Linked DNA regions of Oreochromis niloticus. The protein of the gene in region 2 purifies or fractionates together with the protein of the main gene of each other region. This does not show direct contact. Links are inferred from orthologs where the notes say so. Each region holds a gene or a part of one and is shown on either strand. Other genes may lie near its edges.

Region 1 (7,801 bases), on a different chromosome or scaffold from region 2:
AGTGTTGTCTTCTCACTATACATGCTCTTAACTTCATGCAAGAGAAAATAAAGTATAAAAAAATGATATTTTTTGCAAACAAACTCCGTCTTGTGGTTTGCGACATGGTGCTGCTGTACGTGCACCCGGATTTGCGACATACTTTACGGTAAGTCAAAACAAAGACTGCACCCTCGGCACTTGCTGTTTACAGACTGCGTACTTTCCAGATGAGCACAGGTCAGGTGGTATATCATGATATATATCGTTATCGTGATATAAAATAATTCATATCGTGATAAATATTTTTTCCATATCGCCCAGCACTACGTACAGCTCTGCTATCACTTCCAACATAAATGAAGACAGAAAACTAAACAGCAGTGACATTTGTAGGGTTACTGAAGTTGGACTAGGTGGTATATAATGATGTGCTACGTGATCGCTAGCAAAACAGCTACGTTAGATTAACATTAGCACAGTAAAGTTGAAGGATGGCCGCTAACTTTTTTCCACTCGATAAAAGTTAACGTGAGGGTTCCCGATGGTTAGGGACAAATGCAATCCCATGGCAGGATGCTGTAAACAGACCAAACTTCAGTCAGGAGAACTGAGATAATCCATCCACAATACGAGGTTAGTCATTAATATACTGCTACAACATGGGAATAGAGCAGTTGTTAGGGAATTCAGCATTAATGAATCAATGGTAGGGAAGTGGAGGAAGCGCAGTTTTTGGCTTTCCCCATATTCCAAAAGTGCTTTGTCTCTTTGCTGTTACTGTTGCCCGGCATAATTTGCAGATGATGTTGTTTGCAGCCGCTGCGATGCTTTCGACCAAAACAGCGCATGTTGATAGTGTCATCAAGCTGCGCCTATCACGGTACAGTGGTATAGTCAAAATCTCTACCATTGGCCAAATTTATATCGTTTCTACCCTATACCGTTTATACCACCCACCCCTATTACACATCACACATATTCAAACTTTCAGCTTGCATGTCTCACACACACACACACACACACACCTGTTGCCACCTGGTGGCGTACACACAGACTGCAGTCTGTGACCGTAAAATATAATGTTTTAAATCAGGGGTCCCCAATCTCAGTCCACGAGGGCCGGTGTCCCTGCAGGTTTTAGATCTCACCCTGGGTCAACACACCTGAATCACATGATTAGCCTCTGGAGAACTTCAAGACATGTTGAGAAGGTAATTTATTCATTAAAATCAGCTGTGATGGATCAAGGACACATCTAAAACCTGTAGGGACACCGGCCCTCGTGGACTGAGATTGGGGACCCCTGTTTTAAATAAACCATCTTCCAGCGCTTCAGCATTTAAAAACTACTGTAGCCCGCGAGGGGCGGGGGGGTCAGTCTGCCGGGTGTTACACACTCACACATCTCCCTGCCCACAGTTACAGGTGTGCACCCAACTTCATACACAGTGGGCGGGGCTCCTCAGCTGTGGAGCCATTTTACACTACCCACATTCAAGACCGACCCAGAACAGGTCGCGCTTGAAAATGAGACCTCGTGTCTCAATGAGATTTACCTGTATAAAGGTGAAATAAAAATAACAAAGAACACACATAAAGCTTCACCAGCCCTGGGTTTGAGCATGCGCGGGTCATCATGACTTATATGTTTTGATAACGACAACAACAACAAATCCAGCAGGGTGCTTGCACAGTGAGTGTTTGGGGGGGAACCATGCATGTGCAGGACAGGTAAACAGGTATGGCCGTTCTCAGGTACATGAATAACCACGTGGTTTAACGCTGGAAATGCCGAGGAGCTCATCAGGAGGAGGTATCTGGTAAACCCGGGTTTCAGAGGTTTCTGGGGAGTCTTCAGAAAACTAAACGAGTGTCACTTTCGGTCGGAGCTCTTCGCCCGGGCCAGCACTCCACCTCTCCCGCTGGATCTCATCCATATAGCTGTTAGTGTGTGACCGGAAAACCGGCGCTCAGCTTCACCGTTACTATCACCGACATGAGAGCACACCTCACCCACCAAAACTGTTCGTGCGGCAGTGTGAGAAACTTTTTAAAAACCCTCTCCATAGTTTAAATCCGCCTCCCACCGAACCTCGCGTAGTTTTTGTGAAATTTAAGCGCGCGGCACTCGTGCGCCTGAAAACACAGCAAGGAGGGCGGGAACAGCAGACTGAACAACAACTCTTTAAACTCCGATTTATTGTGAACAACGTACCGTTTTCAGACAGCGCCTGGGTCGAACTGACCCGTGGCGACACGGAAACTGTGGAGAGCCTTTAAAGATGTTATAATAGAAAAATGACTTGACTTAGAACTATATGAGCTTAAACGCTGAAATGAGAATGGAGTCCGGCCGCAAACGCCATCACAGCACGACCATCGCGGATCAGTAACTCTCTAACAGTAAAGGTTAAAATGGGAGCCTGCTCGGCCGAGCGGTCACCCCGGGGTGTTCAAACAAATGCAGCCGAACCCAGCCACAGTCCGCGACTACATTTTCTCGGTACCGTCGAGGACCAGCGGCGGCTCTCGGCGCGCTCCCCCGGCCGCGGTTCTGTTATGAGGGCTGGGCGCTCGGCAGGTTAGCCTGTTAGCCCGTGTGCTAGCTGCGGGAGGCTCGCGCGAGGCTGCCCCGCGAGAAGTGAGCGCGGGAGAGGGATCGAGCCTGCACGCCGCGGGCTCCTCCAGGACCGAGCGGAGTTTCCTCCATGTTGGAGCCACAAACATGTCGCGTCTTATCGTTCAAAAACACCGACAGAAGATCAGTCCGCGGGTTGGGAAAAGTCGACGGCCGCCCACGCTGAATGTTATCAGCATCGTCATGGCTTCACACGGCATCCTTCACCAGTTTCTTCACGAAATAAATAAATTAAAGTGTTGTAGTTACTTGCCTCGGCTGGATTTCTGTTCCTCAGCTCCAGACTAATCCTCTTCTTCATCTCCATGTCGAAGCCCGAACAGAGGGCGAAAAAACAAAGTATAACAAAGGAAAAGTGAAAATAAAATGCGCGTCAGTGAAACACTCCTTCTTCTACGGACACAAGGCGACAACTAAACCTCCATGTTCGCTGTTGCCGGTCCTCCACTGTTAGACCACGCCCCCATCTAATGAATATCCATATTTTTAAGAAGCTTAACCTGTTATTGGTCCAAACACGATCAACTTACTAAGCCCCCCCCTAGCATCTTAATATGCACAGACCTCGTCTGTGAGTGGCTGTAAATGCAACTACGTCACTTTAGTGTTACCAATGAGAGGGTGAACATGAAACGTTTAAACTTTACAGGCGCCCTCTCTTTGTCCTCGTTGGCGCCATATTGCAATGGTCACTGTGATCATTTTTCATCGATTACCACAAAATAACCACAGTGTTTACATCAATAATTCACCTATACACACATTATTACATCCAACTTCGTGCCTTTGATCTGACCACAGAGGCTGTTTGTTGTTTTAAGTATTTATTGCAATAATAAACATGATTCATATCATGGTTAATCAAAGTATTTTCTATATCTTTTCATATTTATTACAGGTTATATTCTCCTTCTTCTTCTTCTTGTTATTAAGAGCCATGGGAGGTGACGTGGTAGAAAAATATGAAACAAATAAATCATATAATTTACTTGAACATTTTTTCTGTAAAAAAACCAAAGTGACCGAAACACAGATTTTCACTTAAGTTTAGACTTTCCTTTGATCAGATAATCAGAGTCCATGATTTTCCTGACCTTTAACCTTCCACCTGTCTGATTGCTGAGGTAAACATGAGATACCACCAAAGTCTTTCCAGACACAAGTCTAAAGGTAGCCAGAAAGCCTCGAGCACCTGTGTGGGCAGTTATTTGGAAGAGTCAAACTTTAAGAGTCTACAGAGCTCCAGTAACACGTGTGTCTGCAGAGAACAACAGTTGCCTTAAGGTGCTTTATGTTGTAAGGTAAAGAGCCTTCAATAATACAGAGAAAACCCCCTATGAGCAAGCACGTGGTGACAGGGGGAAGGAAAAACTCCCTTTTAACAGGAAGACTCCTCCAGCAGAACCAGGCTCAGGGAGGGACAGCCAACAATCATTCACTCTCTGTAACAGTTGGAAACTTTTTCTCCATCAGCATTTTCAGCACTGCTGCCATTTGGTTCCACCAACCCTGTGCGCTGGTCAGATTTGACTCTTTCAGCTCCTCCAATCACATTTAGACTGTGACTTGTGCATGCCTGCAGAGGGCAGTGTTGGACCTCTGTGTGATGCTGTTCTTTAGCGTCTAACTTCCATTTCCTCACCAGGTGCTTGGTGTTGCATGCATGTACAGGCGGCCATGTTTTCATTTTGGTTGGTTTTCTTCAACACAGATGCTCTGGATCTTATGTGTGTATGGGGCATGTGTGTAGTGACAATGGAAGCTATTCTATTCTATTTATTTTGAAGTTTTAGGTCATGGTGAGCACGCTGAGAACAGAGAGCAGATCTTCTCTCTGCTGAATGCTCTGAGATGAGATTATGATGCAAATATGGTTAACTTCACTGCACTGCGTTGACCCGGTGTACATGAGCAAACAGGTTCTTAACGTGGCCCTGAAACTCTTTCGAATCTATGGCGTTATTTTTGTGCATCTATTCTGAGCGCATGGAAATCATTGTTGCAAGTACAAATGTTGCATTTTGAGGAGAAAATTACTTTGAAGGAAGAAAACTCAGTGTTTCAGTGTTTGCTAATATCCATAAACACACACACACAATAACAGCCGCTCTCGCTCAGATCTCTGCTCTGTGTGCTCAGACGTCTGCAGACCTGCTCTCTACATCTCTGCTGCCTGCACTCTTAACTCTCTGTACAACGTTATAAATGTGCCACAAAACCAACCAATCACAGACTTGGATGCAAAAATTCTGATTGGCTGTTTAGGTCTCCAATCAGCTCGCTAGCTACTAGCTAAATCCAGCAGAGTGGTTTGGTTTAAACTAGATGAAAACCAACAATGGTCTTAAAAAACGATATATTTTAGAATAAAACAATTAAACATACTAACTGAAAATGGGTTTAGCTACACTCTGGACTGTTTCTGGATTGCAGTGGCTAGTGAGCTGAGATGTCTCCACAGCTGTGGAGAAACTCCAGTGTTCTGAATGTGGACTACAGACAGATCATGTGACATACTTGAGCACATCGTTGTTACTGCTGCTTTCTGCAGGTCACATGAACGAGACGCAGCCATGAAAAACATAATTCTTCCTCCTGCTGCTGCAGAGACGATCCAGAGGAGCTCCGTCACTCTCAAGAACATTTGAACCACAGCAGACTGAATTGCGAACCTCATTTCACTAAAGCTCAGACCCTTTACACTGACTCAGAGTTCAGCTGTGGGTCCAAACATATGTGCAGGTTATTAATCAACAGGTCCATGAAGGTACTACAACGCGGCCTGTCTTCCTAATTTCCTCGGTTTTGATGAAAAACGGTGGGCGTAAGAGAAGCGTGGCGCTCGTGTTTCCTCTTCGTAACTTGGCCTTTATTCATGAAGAATCTCTTCACAAACCAGTAAGATTAAATCTGTAAAAGAAAGATGGATTCGCTGCTTTAATTCCTGCGATCGCCAAACACGTCTTCGTCCGTCTGTTTTACGTTCAGAAAACATCTGAAAACGTGGACAAAGGTACACGTGTAACAGTAGTGATGTAGCCCAAATCTGATTGGTTACTGGGACACTCGCAGGGGATCTGACGATATCTGATGGATTATTTCTGTGTGCGCGTCAGTACATTGAAGAGGGTGTGGCCTTTTTTATGGACCAGGTGTGGCCTGTTTCTGTTTCAGCTCCCTGCTGCCCTAAGTGGAGCAGCTCTCATGAATGAAGCTCCTCGTTTGATCGTTTCCAGCGCAGATCATTAATCATCGGGTCAGCTGAGACCGCAGAGGTCACCTGGATCGTTGATGGACTTCCTGGGAGCGCCCTACCTGATCACTGAGTGTGGATGGAGAGGAGAGTGTTCCTATGGAAGCGTTTCTGAACGCAGAGTGAAAGACGAACAAAGACGAAGCAGATCTTTATCCACCAGAGACTTTTAATTTGAAGAGACAGCTGATGATTCAGAGCTTTACACCCTTTCAGTATAAAAGCCTTTAAATGAGTTAAACGTGAGAAAAAAAGCAGACGACAGAATAAATAATGTGACTGTCAGAGGGAGCAGAAACGCAACGTAAACAGGATGTGATGTCATCAAAGAAACAGGAATGGCTCTTTGGTCAACAATCAGCTAAAGGAACTAAAAACCGACAGGAGGAAGATGATGATGACGAGGATTTTTTGGTAATCAGCTGATTTCTGACATCAGGCTTAAAGGGTCAGTTCACCTGTTGAGGGGGTGGAGCTAATAAACCGCAGACCAGCGGGGGTGCTCGAGCAGAAACTCAATGACGCTTCGCGTGAGCTGACCCTTTAACGTGTCACGCTGGTTTCCACGGAAACGAACTTAAACGACAGCAGAAACGAGACGCTGCGATCGGCTGATTGTCTGAAACCCGTGTGAACCGACCGATGACCTGCTCCGGTGTGTTTGTCGGCGGAGGTCCTAGAGTGCGTGCTCTCGCGGCGGCAGCGTGTGCAGCACCTGGTCAAGCAGCTGCAGCGCTCTGTGCAGGTGCACCTCCAGCCAGCAGGGGGTGTCCTTGATGCTCTGCCGTGGGTAGTCACACCCCCACCCTTTGACGAAGCTCAGCCGCACGATGCACAGCCTGCGGAGGTCGTCCACGCCCAGACCGGCCGCTGAGCGCACACCTGCGGCAGAAAGCACAGGTGAGACACACAGAAACAAAAACGTGTGAAATTAAAACCAGGAGGCTTACACGGAGGGCCGAGGCCGCCCACCTTAAAAACGGAGCGAAATAAGATTAAACGCATGAAAAAGCAGGAAGTTGCACTGAGGCCCAAAATGTCCAACACGAATCTGACTCAATTCACTCTGCAGGTAAGTCCTTTAAGTACTGCGTCTGGTTCATGTTTTATTTTATTGATTCATCGATACGCTTTTGTCACCCAGTTTATTTTTTGATTTCTCCTTTTCCCGTTTTATGAATTTGAACCTCTTTATTCCGGGAGAGACGCCCGTCAATCATAGTGAGGTCACCAGCTGACTGACCCACAGGCGTCTTCTCATTACCTTATAATTAATGGCTACATTTAATTTTTAATTATCGTTTTGCACTGACAGATATGAATCCATTTACTGAGGTATTGATTTATTTCTTATGGATGTTTGATTGTTGGTCCTCCGTGCTGGAGAATCAGGTAATCAGATTACATCTGTGTCTCAGCTCTGACTGTGTTTGGACCTTTTTCTGTGAAACATTCGAGCTGCAGGTCTTAAAATCAGAGATCAGTGAGAACTCGTTGAAGGCCTCGCTTCACCTTCCACACACTTCCTGCTTCAGCCTTACCCTGCCCATCAGCTCACAGATATTAGGCCAATAACTCTCCGTCTTCTCAAACAAGATTTCATTCACGCTTTTAGTCCCTCACAGTCACAGTGTGTCCAGCAGGAGGCGCTTCACACACACACACACACACACACACACACACACACACAGCTGACAGTTTCATTTTTCGAAATTACTAATCTTTTGTTTAAATACTTTATGAAACGACAAAAATACTTAAATGTTGGTGCACACGGTCTTGGTCTTGTCACTGATTTAAGAGTTACCGTCTGCGCTCTGGTCCAAACAGTGAAAATTACACCTGTGCCTGTCTGTCATTGGCGGTGTGGGGCAGGTGATACTCACTGACAGCAGGCGCGATCCCTCCCACACTGTTCGGACCGGGAA
Region 2 (6,870 bases):
TGGCACTGCCCCTTGAGCTCACTGCACCACCCTCCCCTGCAGCTGAGGCAGGGACCACGCCTCCGCCACAGCCTTCTTTACCTGTACGAACGCTGCCTGACACTGCTCCGTCCACTGGACCAGATCTGGGGCGAGATCAGTCAAGGGGCTGATCAGGTCTGTGAAGCCTGGCATAAACTGGCAGTAGTACCCAGCCAGCCCGTGGTTAAATCCAGTGTTGTGAAAAAACGAGCAGTGCGTACCTGGTCCAGGAGCTCGGCTCCCCTTGCTTTCACTCTGTCTTTCCTCACTGCAGACTCCTATGGGAGTCACTGACAAACTTATGTTTACAGCTAGATAGCGCAATGAAAAAACACCTCTAAGTGCTGGGTGAATCCTACAGAACTAGACATGCAGTATAGAATGAAAATATACATTAGGCACTATTCTCAGGAACCAAGAATGCCTGCGGTGAAAATTCTGGCTTCGAGGTAAACCAGTACGAAACAAACATTTAAAGACTACATTTTATGAATATCAAAGATAAAGTTATCCATGAGAAAGAAAAATACACTCCTCAAAACGTGAAGTATAAACCGGAAACATCAACAGTTCCCCTAGATATATTTTTCTTACTTGGTTATCGTCTTAATGTAAGTCCCATGTGACCCCATCATGAATAATCCACAGCCGGGCTGGGTGCAGCAGGTCGAATCGGACCCCTTTGACTCCTCTGAGCTAGCGGCAGCTGTTTGCAAAGGCTGCATGTGCTCGCGCCGTCTTGGCGGGATAATCGGTGAAAACCGAGATGGTCATATTGTTCACCTTGATCCACTGAAGCTCCCTTGCCCTCGAAAGGATTTTAACACAGTCAGTGTAGTAATGTAGTTAGCTACTATGGCACAGGGCCGCTCTTGTGTCTTGGGCTTGGGAGCCAGAGTACGGTGAGCGCGATCTAGCAGCGGCTCCTCTGGGAGGTCAAAGGCCTCCTTTAGCAACTGCGAATCGGCATCCGTGGATGCTGACAATGGGTCGTCTTTCAGAACACCAATGATGCGGATGTTTTGACACCTGGACTCCAAATCGTCACATTTATCCTCCAACTTGGCCACCGCCTTAGTTAGATGGTCCACTTTTCTCTGGAGGCTGATGATGTCGTCAGTACAGGTGGACAGGGATCGCTGCATCTCGGTAACCGTTACCTTTAGTTAGGTGAAACTCTCCTACTCTACTTTGAGAGCACAGACACGGCTACTATCGGCAGCCTGGGCCCCAGTCGCCAACTCAGGACAGGTCAAGGGCTCATCAGGAGAGGCTGCAGGCGAGGCTGGATCAAGTTTCCTCATTTAGTCGGCTTTGGTGGCATTTTAGTGACCAAAATATAAAAGTTTACAATTGTAAAAGGACTTAGATATTGCTTGGGGTCGAGTCAGAGAAAAAGTGCTCAGTAATAATTGAAAAAAACCACCCAACTCTGCAGGAGCTCACCGAAACGCTACTCAGACCAAACCGCCATTAGCTGGAGTCCAGCTCTGTTTACGATACAAGATATTTTCCATTGAGTGGGCCCTCTTGTTGGAACGGCTCCACCAGCTCAGCTGTCGGTCTGAATAGGGACTAATGGAAAAGGGACTTAGGCTACGTCCACACTAATGCGTTTTCGTTTGAAAATGCATAGTTTTTTCTCCGTTTTGGCCAACCGTCCACACTGAGACGGCGCTTTCCCCAAGGAAAACGAAGCGTTTTGAAAACGCTCTCGAAAAGGAATACATTTGAAGACGGTGCGTTTGCGTCACAGTGTGGACAGTGAAAACGGAGACTTTCTAAAGCGATGACGCATTCTCACTCGCTTTTGCAACTTTGTACTTTTGTGTTACTCGCAGCAACAACTCCACCTCATTGTTAGTCCATTTAAAAAACTCGGTGCTTTTCCTCGACATTCTGCCGCGACGTTTCAAAGAGCCGGAAAGTAAATGAACGGCAGACAGAAATGAGGCAGGCCGAATCTTCTTGCGCTTCACGCATGTGCTAGACTGGAACCTAAGTATTTTTAGCCGTTTCAATGTGGATGCACAACTCTGTGAAAAAGACTGAAAACGCTAGTGTGGATGTGAAGCATTTTCAGACGAAAACGCCGTTTTCAAATCTATCTGGGCTAGTGTGGACGTAGTCTTAGGCATCCTTGGCCACCTTCAGGCACTGCTTCACCTCCTGCTGTGCTGACTTGATAACTGTCCTGTCCTTGGTTCTGAAGGCCTCCTTCTTCCTGCTGAGGACAGCTTTGACACCCTCTGTTATCCACAGTTTGATGTTGGATTTGGACTCGTATGAAAAGGGGAAAAAATTCAGTTTAAAATATTGAGCCAATGCCAAATAATAACGTTGGGTTTGTAACACTCATTCCTTCAGCACTCTTTAAAGGTTGAATTTCCCGTGTTGGCTGGTAATAACTAGCTCAATGGATTAGTTCACTCAACATATTGTGACAGGATGACATCATGTAAAAAACTAGCATCTATTTTTGTCTTTCATCAGTGACCCAGTCAGCTACTCTCCAGCTGCACTATTTTCCCACCAAAGATTTTATTTATTTATTTTCTATTTTTGTTTCCGCTCAAGTCCCCGCAGGAAAAATGACATCAGCGCTTCTCACGCTCTTTATGCCTTTTTCTTCTGAGCTGTCCCTCTCTTTCTCTCCTACTCTCAGTATTTCCCTCATGTGGATTGTGGAAACATTGTTGGTTTAGTTCATAACCTGATCTCTCCATATCCAGCACATGATGGCTCACACTACAATATTACTGATTTTACAGTATTGTGATGCAGCCATGTACAACAAAGAGACAACAAGACAGCTCTTCTTATGACTTTACAAAAAGTTTTGATTTTTTTGATTTTTTTTCTTTTTTTTCAAAGTCCATCTGCTGTGTTAGTCAGCCTCCCCTGACACCACACGGCCCCCAGCAGACCCATGGCTGATTTCCTCTCCCAGTTAGGGGGGTGGGGCTGACCAACACAGCAGATCTCCATCAGCTAATCATCCCTCCTCTCTTTAAGTCGGCTGTTGCGAGCAGTGCTGGACTGAGCTGGAGTGTGACAGCTGGAAAGCTGCACAAACAGACTGATAGGTCCTTCTGTTACAAGCATAGAGCATATTATTGGTCTCCGGTCCTTTGAATGTTGAATCAGTCTAAAGAAGTGGGCATCGTACTGGATTCACTTTATCCGGCGAGGATCGCTCTGATTTTGAAACAGAACTGTGACCCTACTTTCATCTCATAGTACAAACCTGTATCTCTCCTTTCAGTCTAAGCAAAAACCAGGATCTAATCATCTGAAAACTTATACTGCCAAAATCATACTTCTGGATCAGACAAAGTTCATACCCAGTGGGCATATTCATTTCAACATGCAGAGACTCTTTGGTATCATCCATATCCCTGCTCACAGCAGGGAGGATTCAGTTGTATCTCTCTTTGTGCCGAGAAGGCTTTTGCTCAAGTTGAACGGCCTTTTGGTCGACGACTTTTCCCCTCTTCCTGTATCATTTGGGGTGGTTGGAACAAGTGGTGTAAAAGATCATTATGATGCTCGAGCCATTTCCTTATCAAGGCTGAGTGGAACTGAGTCTACACCCAGTCTTTGGCTAAAATCTTGCATATCTGAGGCACAGCTGTAGGAAGTGATAGATTTCTGGCTGATCTTTATGAGTGGCCATTGCTCTGTCTCTCTCTCTTTCTGCCTGGGAATTTTTACAGGTAGCTTGTGACATCTATGTAACACACAGAGATTCATTCAACATTCATTTAGGATGGATGGATTGATGCAGGCTGTAATTAAATTACTTCAAACACAGAGCACCAACTTTTTCTTCAGTTTGCCTTCTTTGTCTGCTTGTGGCTGGTTGCTTTATCCTGTTGATGGTGTGGCCAGTTGTCCCAGTCAGCACAGGGAATCCCATTATTTTAAACATTTGATCATGCTGCTTCAGCAAAGTTCTTCCAGTTATACAAGAATAGCAGCAATTTCCCAACCTTAGAGTTAAATGATACTCAGAGCAATTAGATTTCCAGGCTATTGCACTGACCTCTGCTCGAGTACATATGTGTTTTTAGAAAAGAGGTAACGTGCAAGACCCTGAAAATTGGTATGTGGGGGAGGCGGGGGTGAGCACTCTGCTGTGCTTCATATACTAAACTAAATGGTAAATGGCCTGTATTTGTATAGCGCTTTACTTAGTCCCTATGGACCCCAAAGCGCTTTACACTACATTCAGTCATCCACCCATTCACAACAGGTGATGGCAAGCTACATTGTAGCCACGGCTGCCCTGGGGTGCACTGACAGAGGCGAGGTTTTACCAAATGGGGCTATTTAATTTTACCATCAGCTTTGATAGCTTTCTGCCTAAACCCTAAACTGGATAAGCAGATAAGAAGATGAATGTATGTGGGGACTTTTATCTATAGTAAATTAAAAGTTAATGACATGTGAAAGAAAAACTAATGCTAACTCATTTCGATATAAAATGGGAAAGGGATACGCCACATAAACTACATTACCCATAAGCTCTTAGAACGGAACCGCACAGAGAGCTCATTTATTGGCTGAAGAGCTGCAGCGGTAATCACGTGACTGCCGTCATCCGGGTAGCCATGGTTGTATATAAAGACCCGCTGTGGGGGGGAGGGGGTCTAGTTCAAACAACAGTCGATATTCAGTGCAGACGGAGGATATTATTTTGGCTGCGGAGTCAGAGTTTCTTTGTAAGTTTTTAAATATGGTACGTATTACATGTCGTATTAACGAAACATTATAACGACACACTCTGTTTAGGTAGTTTGTTTGAAACAAATCTTAATTTGGTAGCGTTGCATTTTCTTTATTAGTTAACAGTTGGCCGCTAGCATTGGCTGGTGTAGTGGATTAGCATGCTAAATACCCACTGGCTTCACTGGGGAAGCGCTAGCATGGCTAGCGAATATTAAGCGGACCTTAAGTTAATGTTGAGCTACAATAAGGCGCGTTTCGGCGGAGGCACACTAACAGTACTGGTGTTTTACAGGCTGGTGGTAAAGCTGGTAAAGACTCTGGAAAGACCAAGACCAAAGCGATTTCGCGCTCTCAGAGAGCAGGACTGCAGGTTTGTCCCCAAATTTCATTCATTTTCTCGGTTGCGCAAGCACGCGCTATTAGCCAAAAGTCAGTGGTTCTTTGTCGGTGGCGGGCTCTCATCGAGCGGCCAGCACGGCTTTGCTTCTGTTCACTCGTGTCACATTATCCCCGCAGTTCCCGGTAGGCCGTATCCACAGACACCTCAAGTCCAGAACAACGAGCCACGGCAGAGTAGGAGCCACCGCGGCGGTGTACAGCGCGGCTATTCTCGAATACCTTACTGCTGAGGTGACCCTAAGCTCCGTTTATCTTGCACTTCGTTGCTTGAGGTGTTGATCTTTTTGTAAAGGCTGTGTCTCTTTCAGGTTCTAGAGTTGGCAGGAAATGCATCAAAGGACCTTAAAGTAAAGCGTATAACCCCACGCCACTTGCAGCTGGCTATTAGAGGAGATGAAGAGCTGGATTCACTTATCAAGGCCACTATTGCAGGCGGAGGTACGAACATTACAGAGAACTGTGTGATGGTCTTATACTCCCGTACTGTAGTGGTTTACACATTTTGTTGAGGCACAAATCCCTTTTGTGTTGCATCTGGTGTAAAACTGTAACATCAACACTGTTGTGGCAACTCTGTTACAAGGGAGCAGCTGAAAGTGGTTACTGAAATGAAAACTTAACCGTTCAAGTATATAAACTGTTATAACATTTATTTTTTCCAGGCGTGATCCCGCACATCCACAAATCTCTGATCGGGAAGAAGGGCCAGCAGAAGACTGTATAACCTGAAGTGTTCAGCAAGTTGTGCCATCTCAGGATGAAGTCTGCATCAAGTGGTTAAATGTCTTAGATTAGTAATCTTACATTATTTTATGGTAGTGTGCATTTACTACTCTGGGTGGGGTTTGTTTTTGGGTTTTTTGTTTTTTTTAATAGTGGGCCCCTCCCCTCTCCTGCAGGTTTTTGGGGGTGGGGGGCGGCTCCAGCCGGCTTGTCTTGGATGTATACGTGTATTTGGCCTTTCTGTTTTTAATCTTCACAGCTTTGAAAGGAGCTCACAGCCACCAAACCTAGTCGATACGGAGTACAGGATGTGCATAGCTTTTGTGAAAACTCAAGATGTGCTTGTGCTTTGTATGTACCTTTAATGCAGACCATCCATTTCAGCCTTGTATTTCAAAGCATGTTCATTCTCTTTACCACTGGACTGTCATGGACCGGTTCATAACCTTGTTGGTATTTTTGGATTCCTGAATAAAGACTGGATTTGGCACAGTCTGAGTGTTTCCCCTAGTCTTTGTCTTATTCTCTTTGAACAGAGTGCTGTGACTTTCCTCTTAATCATGCAGTGATGTATGACTACAGGTGGCGTAATGTGAAGCTTTGGCTTTCATTCCACTTTTGTTCAGTTTTACACAAAATTGGAGGAATGCCAATGGGCTCGTTAGGTGAGCTGGCTACATGCAGTGTTTTAGATTTATTTTTTTAAATACTTGAGGTCTACTGAATATTCAAACTTATTTGCTAATATGCACTGAAATTCTCATGGGTGCAAATGACTGAAAAGTCAGAACTCCAATCTTTGGTGGTTGGAGTTGGTTCAAATTTTCAAAGCCAGCCAGACCTTTATTTGATTACATGGCCCAAGTACTGATGAATCCACGCACTACATCTGATGGCGGATCTTATATTTCTAAGTATGTCTAACACTTTCTTCACAACAAGGTGCTGGGTTTACATCCACGACCTGGCTGGGCCTTCCTTTATGGTTTGCATGGG

Evidence for each region. Proteins that work in one complex are often made in the same cells at the same time.
Region 1: the proteins of histone H2A.Z (region 2) and acidic leucine-rich nuclear phosphoprotein 32 family member E purify together in Homo sapiens (affinity purification with mass spectrometry; 4 studies listed by BioGRID and IntAct, with this or other methods). This does not show direct contact. The link is inferred for Oreochromis niloticus from reciprocal best matches to the Homo sapiens genes H2AZ1 and ANP32E.

What each region holds. Positions count from the first base shown.
Region 1 is NC_031976.2:38,087,649-38,095,449, forward strand, and holds the start of acidic leucine-rich nuclear phosphoprotein 32 family member E, read right to left. Parts: upstream 3,083-7,801; 5' UTR 2,928-3,082; coding exon 2,874-2,927; intron 2,787-2,873; exon of another isoform or gene 2,198-2,786; intron 1-2,197. Other genes in the region: mothers against decapentaplegic homolog 4, read right to left, coding at 6,550-6,755, 7,760-7,801. UniProt on the Homo sapiens protein: Histone chaperone that specifically mediates the genome-wide removal of histone H2A.Z/H2AZ1 from the nucleosome: removes H2A.Z/H2AZ1 from its normal sites of deposition, especially from enhancer and insulator regions.
Region 2 is NC_031967.2:1,586,874-1,593,743, reverse strand, and holds histone H2A.Z, read left to right. Parts: upstream 1-4,617; 5' UTR 4,618-4,634; coding exon 4,635-4,745; exon of another isoform or gene 4,746-4,759; coding exon of another isoform or gene 4,760-4,762; intron 4,763-5,044; coding exon 5,045-5,122; intron 5,123-5,268; coding exon 5,269-5,382; intron 5,383-5,459; coding exon 5,460-5,589; intron 5,590-5,813; coding exon 5,814-5,875; 3' UTR 5,876-6,369; downstream 6,370-6,870. UniProt on the Homo sapiens protein: Variant histone H2A which replaces conventional H2A in a subset of nucleosomes. Nucleosomes wrap and compact DNA into chromatin, limiting DNA accessibility to the cellular machineries which require DNA as a template.